Schizosaccharomyces pombe: one gene and its partner. The gene in region 1 interacts genetically with each later gene. Each region holds a gene or a part of one and is shown on either strand. Other genes may lie near its edges.

Region 1 (5,199 bases):
CTTCAGCTGCCTTAGCCTTTTTCTTAGCGGCTTGTTCAACTCCCTTTTTCGCCTTCTTTAAAGCGTTGGTGGTTATAGGCTCAAACTCTTCACTGCCATTTTTTTTGACAAAGATCGTACAGTTGGCATCAGTTTCCAAAGCATGGATTGCAGTTTTAAATGGTGATGTTTGACTTCCGTTGCCAGTTTCATCATTACCGGAAGCTTCGTCTATATAAAAAACAACGTCTGATTTTATTTTCATATCAGAAACTTTTGATTCCAATCCCGCCATTTTTAAAAGGACAGTTTGAAGTTAGTGAAAATGTTAAATATCAAATAACCGGCCTTGGATAACTTATAGTCTCGTTAGAGTGTCTTATCTGCAAATCTACAACCCAGAACATTTGCTAAAGCGCGTTAATTTTTTTTTTGGCTAATGATTCCAAAATTTCGGCTAGTTGCTAATATTTGAAATATTAAGTACTTTTATTTAATTGTAAATTTACATTTCATTGTATCACATTAGTATGGTTATTGCTAATTCCCCAGTCGATTTGACATAGAGCAATTAATTGTCAACCCAGTGTGTATTCAATAGACTCCTCAAATAAGTTAACTACGAAAACTTCTTGTCAATAAGATATTGCTTCATTCCATATTGACTTATGGCTTCTCACGTTCTTAAATTAGTAAATCCAATGGGTAGAAAAAAAGTAAATTAGCTAAGGTTGTAATATTGTCAAAAGAAAAATTTACTTTGTGAAATATCTTTTTAAATTACAAGTGGATATTTTACATGTAGGGCAAGGTTAAAGAACACACTTCTCCATAAGTTAATTGCTAGCATAGTCTGTAGGAATAACCAAAATCGTCTTTTTCTGTTTTTGTTCTCGCTATACAGCCAAGCATGTGCTGACTTTTGTATATCGAGAGATGATTTTTTTTCGTAGTATTCCAATTAGACCTGTTGACATGATACAGTATGGCATGGTATAAATGTTCAATTCACGTATATCAATAAGCTTGCAAAATTCAGGTAGTAGTGATATTTACTTTACTTTTATCGCCATACCTATTGTAGACTGTCCTCAAATCACAACACTTCAATACACAAGTGCATTCTTTTACGCACCAGCATTTCCTTTTTACAACGCTTTTAATTTTAATTATACAAATGTCATAGTCAACAACGGCTTTAAACGGTTTGAACGACAAGAAATGGAGCAGCAGAGGAAAGCAAATAGCGGTTTAGTATAAAAGAAAAATGCAAAAATTTATGATTGTTACAAACAGCGTAATATTTTCATCAGTATGTTAAACCAAAGTATCATTAACAGGTATAGAGTTTCCAAAGTAAGCACGCATAACAATTTTATCCTAAAGAATAGCAGTTATGACCTGCTAGCACACTTCAGTAACAAATTCTGCTAATAATGCGAATTATTAATTGATAAAAAAAATCCGTATCTCAGTTTCATGAGACTAAAGAGAAAAGCGTAAAAGAATGAAATGTAAACGAATGGTACATGTAAAGGCATTCCAAAGATCTTTTGAATGATAAATTTAGTGTGTTACAATAAACTAATTTGAGTAGCAAAATATAAAACACATACTACCTTTGAAAAGCCAGTAATGAAGAAAATTAGGGGTCCATCAAAATACCTCAAAAGTCATATTTTAATGAAATTGAGTATAGCAAAAAGATGTAATATGAATGTCAGAATTAGCAATCGTAATCATCAAACCTAAAACAACATAGTTCTACCCTTTGATAAATAAAAGAAATCTAAAGACAACGGAAGGCGTAGAAAAAAAAAGAAGACAGAGAAAACTCCTTCTACTATGAGGAAACTAATTTTGCAATTACAACCCAGAGTTGTAAATAGTCGGCAATCGCGACAAACCTAAGGACGATCACTCAAATGGGGTGCTAAATTATTTTCTTCAGAATCCCAATTTAAATAACGATGATCGGCAAGCTTTCTTGGACGGATAAAATGCCTTAATGTAAAAACGGTACCTAACACAACACAAACAGCACTGACAACAATGTAAGCTATTCCAAGGAATGGATTCTTTCCTCCAAGCACCGATCTCGTCGTAAGAACCAGAGATTTGGTACCGTCAAAGCTCTTAACAGGAAAAAACAACCCAATTTTTATTTCGTATGTTCCTGGAAAAATATCGTCGTTATCGTTCCGCATAGCCAACTTACTGAAAGTAGGCAGACCAGCTGTACGCATCCAAACCTGTAAATTTTCCATAGTTGACAAATCTGGCATGTTTGATTCAGTATAACCATCAGGATAACGCAAAACCCAATTGGGAGGAGGTGCAACATCATCAGGACTGTAGTTTGTCTTCAAAAATCGTCTTTTATCTGAAGCCCAAGCTATATTTTTGGTAGAAAAAGTGTAAACACTATTATCATCCAGCAGTCTCAGTGACGAAAAAGTGTCATTGAAAAGAGAATTTGCAATCAAACCACATGGATAATATGGTTTGTCATCTTCGTTAACTTCCAAAGGAAAACAATTGCCTCCTTTAACTTCGTCAGCAGTTAAAGCCACTCCCTGTAGTTGTTTTTCATCTACACTTTTAGCATACCGTCGATGATTTTGAAAAAAATTTGTCAAACGGTAATATATGAAAATAGGCGCCTTTAAAACAGATGGGACTGTGAATCTTATGATGCAGTAGTTAACGTCCATATCTAGATCTTTATCGAGAATTTTCTCCAGTTTCCAGTAGGTTGATTCTTTGTCAAATCCAATAGTTCCTGATTGATCAAATGAAGCTGTGTACTTTTTGGAAGGGACGGCAGAGAATTCATCGTAAGAAGCCAGAGTCTCACAATCCGTATAATCAACAACTAGCTCTTGTACGATAGAGCTAGCATAAAGTAATCCTCCTCCTAATGGACCAAATATAATTCCTAACACAAAAAAAAGTGGAAGCACGATTTTAGGGGTTAACAATGGCTGCCAAGACTTGATCCTTTGTTGGCGAAAGGAAGTATTAGGAGGTGCTCTAGTTTTTGCTACAGGCCCATTTGATGCAGTGTCTGAAACATTTTCATTTAATGCTTCCGGCATAATTCTCAAAGGTCTTGAATTGATCGCTTTTTAAAAGCGAGCCCGTTAAAGTGATTAAAAACAATTTAAAAGTAATATTTTGGTGGTTTCTAGATGAAAATTATTGATTTTTTGTTTTAAAATAGGTCAAAAGGCAATAAAACAGCCTATAATGGATTAAAAAAGAGGATATTTGAAAGCCACGGATTTTTCTACGTTTGGCATTTAGTAAACACATAATCTGCAACGTACATATACAAAATTGCGTTAAATAATTACTCCGTATTCCTAATAGTGCTATAATTGACATTGCGAATATGGTACATTTCGCTATTCAAATTTAAAAAAAAATTCTATACAAAGCCAGTGAAGCAGTCATCTTTAAAAGGAAGAGCTATTATAAATACCTTCTTTAAAAATAGGGAAGAACATTTGTTGGTTAATGTATAGTAGTTATATTTCGGGACTATAAAATTATGATGTTCAATTAAAGGAAGTTTCAAAATTTTATAGACGATGGTTTTTCTGCTACAAATAATATTCAAAGTGATTCGTCGTAAAAATGTATACCTGATCGACTTGATTCTGTAGAGATAAGAAAAGAAAGTGTATTAATTATCTATTCTCTGTGGTTAACAAAAGAGGAGAAGTAAAATGCTTGAAATATATTTACGAGCTGGATAGGAAAATGTGCGCACTTTACCGGTAAAAATTGCCCAGCTAAAGAAACAAACAGTATTTGAAAATGACCACCTGCGTGGAGTCTAGTAAATTGCAAGAAAAGAAAAAAAGATTGGTGCCACACTAAGCTCATTTTTTCGAGACAACGTATCTAATGATACAGTATATGTAACTCTAATTATCATATACCTCTTTTGATGTTTGTTTTATGTTTTTTTAACTACCTGATTGAAAACCTCGGATGGTAGTAAATAATGCCTCAAAGTCGAAATCTCATTAGGCAATTAACTGGGATTCAACACATTTATTTAAATTAACATAAGTAAGCCTGGACATTGAAACATAGTGTTATTAATTAACGTACAAAAAATGTGAATGATTATGGCTCCTTCCAATATTTATTTCATGCCTTTAAAAATGAATTTCCGAGCTAAAATGAAAGTTGTTTGATATCAAGCAATTGTTAAAGATTTTTTCATTTAAGTAGTTGTTCGGAATAATTTGGTAGCATTCAAAAGTTTTGCTTCCCATTGCTTTCAGCTCCAAATCCTAACATTATCTTTTGATCCTATTCATTATATTAATATTCACATTTATTCTTTTTGATTAGACTTGTTTATTATCATTTTTTGGCTGTTTACCATGGTATTTATAATGATGAAGCTATGTTACTAATGGATTTTTGTAAGATCACATGAAGAACGGCAGGTTGAAATTGATACCAAGCAGTAAGGAACAATTCTCTCACCCATAAATTGGATTGATTATTTTGTTATCTGTCCCATTTAAGGAATGTTCATTTATTATCATGGCGCTCGCGTCATTGAAATATACTCGAAATTAAGCGAAAAAATCGATCGGCGATAATCATTGTTTACTATCAATGGCACAAAATTCCAAAATTGTATATATTGCAAGGTGCCCTGTACGAGTAGTTTCAAAAAAATTTAATATTCCAAAAAAACGCCTAAAAGACTGTGTTGTTGGAAGTTTTTAAATGTGCAAACAATGGTACCAATAAAAAAAATTAGCACAGCTTGCGACTTGTGCAGGCAAAGAAAACTTCGGTGTAACGGCGAATTGCCAAAATGCCAGAATTGTGTAGTGTACTCAGAAACGTGCAAGTATAATAAAAGAAAAAGAGTAAAGAAGCCAAACGTAGACAAGGATGACCCACATATCGTCGTCGGGCAGCCGCCTGTAAAGAAGTCAACAGCTGGTATTACTCGAGAGTACACCGAAATGATTGAACTGAGAAATCATATTATAACGTTAAGCAAAAGATCTGTTAATATGGAATCTCGGATTGACGATATGCTAAATTTGCTCAACTACGATCTGTCAGAAAAGAGAGAAACGTCGAACGAGATACCATCGCTTGTACAGCAAATTCAAAACTGCGGTTTTCTAATAGATGAAAAAATGAGAAGGTATCCAGGGATTTTCCAAATTCATCCCAAGG
Region 2 (4,146 bases), on another chromosome or scaffold:
AAAATTGGGAGCAAATTGAGAAAAAGCACTGGACACAGCAATATATAAAGGTGAGTAGCCGGTTACAAATATCGTTGCTAGACCATTTTCAGAAGCAGTAATCGTAAAATTATCTAAAGGAAGAGCTTCGTCAAACGTATTGTTCGATATATATAACATCAAATCGTTCGCGCCATCAAAAGCAGTGCAGGTTGATAAAGTTAGACTAACGTTGTAAGCTGTGTTTCCTTCCCATGTTAAGTTATAGTAAGCAGTGCTTTGATCATTTATATTACCATTTATGGTATTGTTCAGCAGCAAGCTAGTATAAGTAGCGCCAAATATGTTTCTAGTTATCGACCAGAAAAAGAGTATCTTCAAAATTAAATGGGTGCTAAAAAAAAACATATAGAACCTTTAGTAATTACTTTCAAGGCTTTAATATTCAAAAGTAAGCTCAAAAGTTTCGCACATGCAAATTGAGAAGTTAATTGAAATTTCTAAAAAACTAGCAAGTTGTATATCATTAAGGATCGTTAAAAATATTCAAATAATCATAAAAGTAAATTTTGGACCTAATTAATATGGGTATTCGCTTTGCGAGAGAAAATGATAGATTTTAGATCTTCAGTCGGACATGCTTGGTTAAGAAATGAATGTGTCAGCAACTCAGCAGCAGTAGCTCTAAAAATGGTATCGATTGTAAGACAGGAATTTAAGAAAGATTTTAAGTTTTTAGAAACTAAATTAGGTTTTTTAAGAGTTGGAGTTCCATTTTTTGCTATCAGATACAATGCACGAATTGGATCCTCTCTGAGATAAGGCGGTTCGTTTTCAATCATCTCTATAATCATAATTCCAAGACTCCATATATCAACTTTGGTCCCATATTCGTTTTGCTTTACTACTTCAGGGGCCATCCAATATGGTGTTCCAACCATCGTAACTCGTTTATTAGTACGGTTAGACAATCGAGCACAAAATCCAAAGTCAGTAATTTTAATATTTCCAGAGTTGTCGAGTAAAACATTGTCACTTTTAATATCTCTGTGAATAATATTTCTGGCGTGCAGATGCTGAATTCCCTTGCACGTTTCTAGACAAATACGAGCAATTTGTGCTTCTGTAAGCTTACTTTTTTCAATAATATCAGTCAAAGATCCAGCGTTCATGTACTCCATCACAACCCATAAATGCCTTTCTCGAACAAGAAATGAATCTAAATATGTCACTATGTTAGGATGAATCGATTCTCTCATGACAGTGATTTCGTTTAAGATTAGTTCCTTTCTTGTTTGGCACTGCAAATCAATACTTTTTATTGCAACTGAGTCAAAAATACCTAATTGTTTTCCTCCGACGACTTTGGCTAAGTAAACAGATCCCGATGCACCCTGGCCAAGTTTATGCTTAACATTAAAATATTCGACAGGATCATGAGAAGTAACTGAGTCTTTTAACATGGCTAAAGCCTGTCTATCAGTCATTCTTCTACTCAACGTGTTCTTTGAATCTGCTTTGACCGGTACTTTGGTTACTTTTCCGGTCATGATAGATTCTACATGACTTTTGTCTTCAATAAAAGGCCTTATGATATGCTTTTTATCCGTCTGTATGGTTGTCTTCGGCTTGCATCTTTCAGTAATATTCATTTTAGTAACTCCAGATGTCGTGAGTTTATGATGTTTGTCAGCATCGCGAATAGAATACGATGTAGTAGAGGATCGTGGCAGTGTCTCTTTGCAAAATGAAAAACTATCTTTAGTTTCGCTTGTTGTATCCAACTGCTTACTATAAAAATCCAAAGCTTGAATAACTGCTTTCGGCTCCTCCATGCATTCTTGTTTGGTAATCGAACTACTCTGAAGTAGCAATATCCACTCCTTGGGTAATCCGACATAATTTCCTTCATTATCAATTCCCACATGCACTTGGTGTTTAGGATTCATCGGACTTGAAACTTTGCTAGCAAGCGCACGAGAAGATATTAAATCCATCCACTCATAACATTCCATATTATCGGCCACGGACAATTCACAAGCTTGAATCTCAAAATTTTTGGTACTACTTTTGAACCTCAATTTAAAGCAGAATGTCCTAGACTTTGAACGCTCTACTTTTTGAATATCCTTCAACAGCAACGTAACCTGAGCACTTTCAGACTTGCTTCCTTTATATATCGACAGAGAATTGCTAGAAAGTACTAGCCACTTTTTAGTCCAAGGGAGATACTTCATTTTATCTTCCTTCAGCATAACCCATCCTGATCGAATGATTCCCTTGCTTTTCTTTGTATCTTTGAGAGATGGAATTTCAACCGGCACGCCTCTTACACTTAAAAGCATTTTGAAAACGATGCAATAGTTTTGGTATACATGCTTCTTTTATACATTTTAGCTCAAATGTATAAACAAAGAAACCCCATTTATAAACAAAGAGAATGCAAAAAACAAAGAAATGTTATGAAAAGAGAAGTCAATTGACGTCAACAGTAGTGGATGAAAAGTAATTCTTAATTAATTAGATTAAGTCTTACAATTGCAATTTGCAATCTTATCGCAAGCGAACATGACATTGGTTACAAGATTCATGACAACGCTCACAAATGTAAACTGTGTATAGCATTTATAATATCTGAGAGTGATTTTAGGTAATTTTTAGCATGGAAATGTATAACTGAATTTATGCGAAGTGGTGGGCAATTCTGGTTAGGAAACATTAATTGATAATGGGTTTTGACTAGCCGATAATTTGCATGTTAGTGCTAGGAGAACTTAGATTGCTAAAACGGAAATTAGTATAACAATTCTAGGACGAATTGAAATGTTGTTTAGACTCTTAAGGGTGGTGTTCAACCATTGCTCCAGTTGTAGAAAATTAATGTAAGACTCTCATAATTTTTTCGTGTAATGTCTAATTCTAAGAAACCGCTAGTTTACTTTTTATACCATTATCTAACAAGTTGGGAGTACTGAAAATAAACAACATGTGAATAATAAGTTCATCTAAACTTCTTGTCAATATTTAATAAAGCTTTCCGTACAATTGAAATTTTTTAAAGGAATATTCTTTTATTTTTGTAACTAACCAAGCTTTCTATTTGCTTGTCAAATTTTCTCTCCTTCATTTTCCTCAAGTTGGGCTGACATAACATAACTACTACAACTTCCATTATGGCGGACGAAATAATGGAGAACGTGGAGCTTACGACATCGGAAGATGTGAATGCTGTATCCTCTTGTAAGTAAATTATATTTTTTTATAATATGAATACTTACTGTGAATGATGCTAACATTGTTTTGCAGTTGAGGAAATGAATCTTAAAGGTTAGTTAATGAATTGATAAAAATTTCCATAATTTTGTTCTAACAACATGCAGAGGATTTACTTCGTGGAATCTATGCGTATGGCTATGAGACTCCGAGTGCTGTGCAAAGCCGGGCGATTATTCAAATCTGTAAAGGGAGAGACGTTATCGCACAAGCTCAATCTGGTACAGGGAAAACAGCAACTTTTTCTATTGGTATTCTTCAGTCGATCGATTTATCAGTCCGAGATACTCAAGCTTTAATACTTTCTCCTACGAGAGAATTGGCAGTTCAAATCCAGAATGTTGTACTTGCATTGGGTGACCATATGAACGTTCAATGTCATGCTTGTATAGGCGGCACATCCGTTGGAAATGACATCAAAAAATTGGATTATGGACAACACGTTGTTTCTGGCACTCCTGGGCGCGTAACGGACATGATTCGTAGACGAAATTTGCGAACTCGCAATGTTAAGATGCTTATTCTTGATGAAGCGGATGAGCTCTTAAATCAAGGCTTTAAGGAACAAATTTATGACATTTATAGATATTTACCCCCTGGTACACAGGTGGTAGTTGTGAGTGCTACCTTGCCTCAAGACGTGTTAGAAATGACTAACAAGTTTACCACTAACCCTGTTCGAATATTGGTCAAGCGCGATGAACTTACTCTTGAAGGCTTAAAACAGTACTTTATAGCAGTTGAAAAAGAGGAATGGAAGTTTGATACTCTGTGTGATTTATATGATACTTTAACCATTACACAAGCTGTGATATTTTGCAATTCTCGTAGGAAGGTTGATTGGTTGACGGAGAAAATGCGAGAAGCTAACTTTACCGTTACCAGTATGCACGG

What was found.
Region 2: mutations in mug89 (region 1) and shk2 together harm fitness less than expected from each alone (positive genetic interaction), as found in Schizosaccharomyces pombe (one large-scale study listed by BioGRID).

Annotation. Positions count from the first base shown.
Region 1 is NC_003423.3:303,415-308,613, forward strand, and holds mug89 (phospholipid-translocating ATPase complex Lem3 family subunit), read right to left. Parts: upstream 3,284-5,199; 5' UTR 3,078-3,283; coding exon 1,887-3,077; 3' UTR 501-1,886; downstream 1-500. Other genes in the region: asparagine--tRNA (Asn) ligase Nrs1, read right to left, coding at 1-274; SPOM_SPBC1773.12 (transcription factor), read left to right, coding at 4,746-5,199.
Region 2 is NC_003424.3:271,330-275,475, reverse strand, and holds shk2 (PAK-like kinase Shk2), read right to left. Parts: upstream 2,325-4,146; coding exon 555-2,324; downstream 1-554. Other genes in the region: plasma membrane stretch-activated calcium ion channel Yam8, read right to left, coding at 1-387; fal1 (ATP-dependent RNA helicase), read left to right, coding at 3,153-3,219, 3,286-3,306, 3,360-4,146. UniProt on the Schizosaccharomyces pombe protein: Forms an activated complex with GTP-bound Ras-like cdc42. Participates in Ras-dependent morphological control and mating response pathways.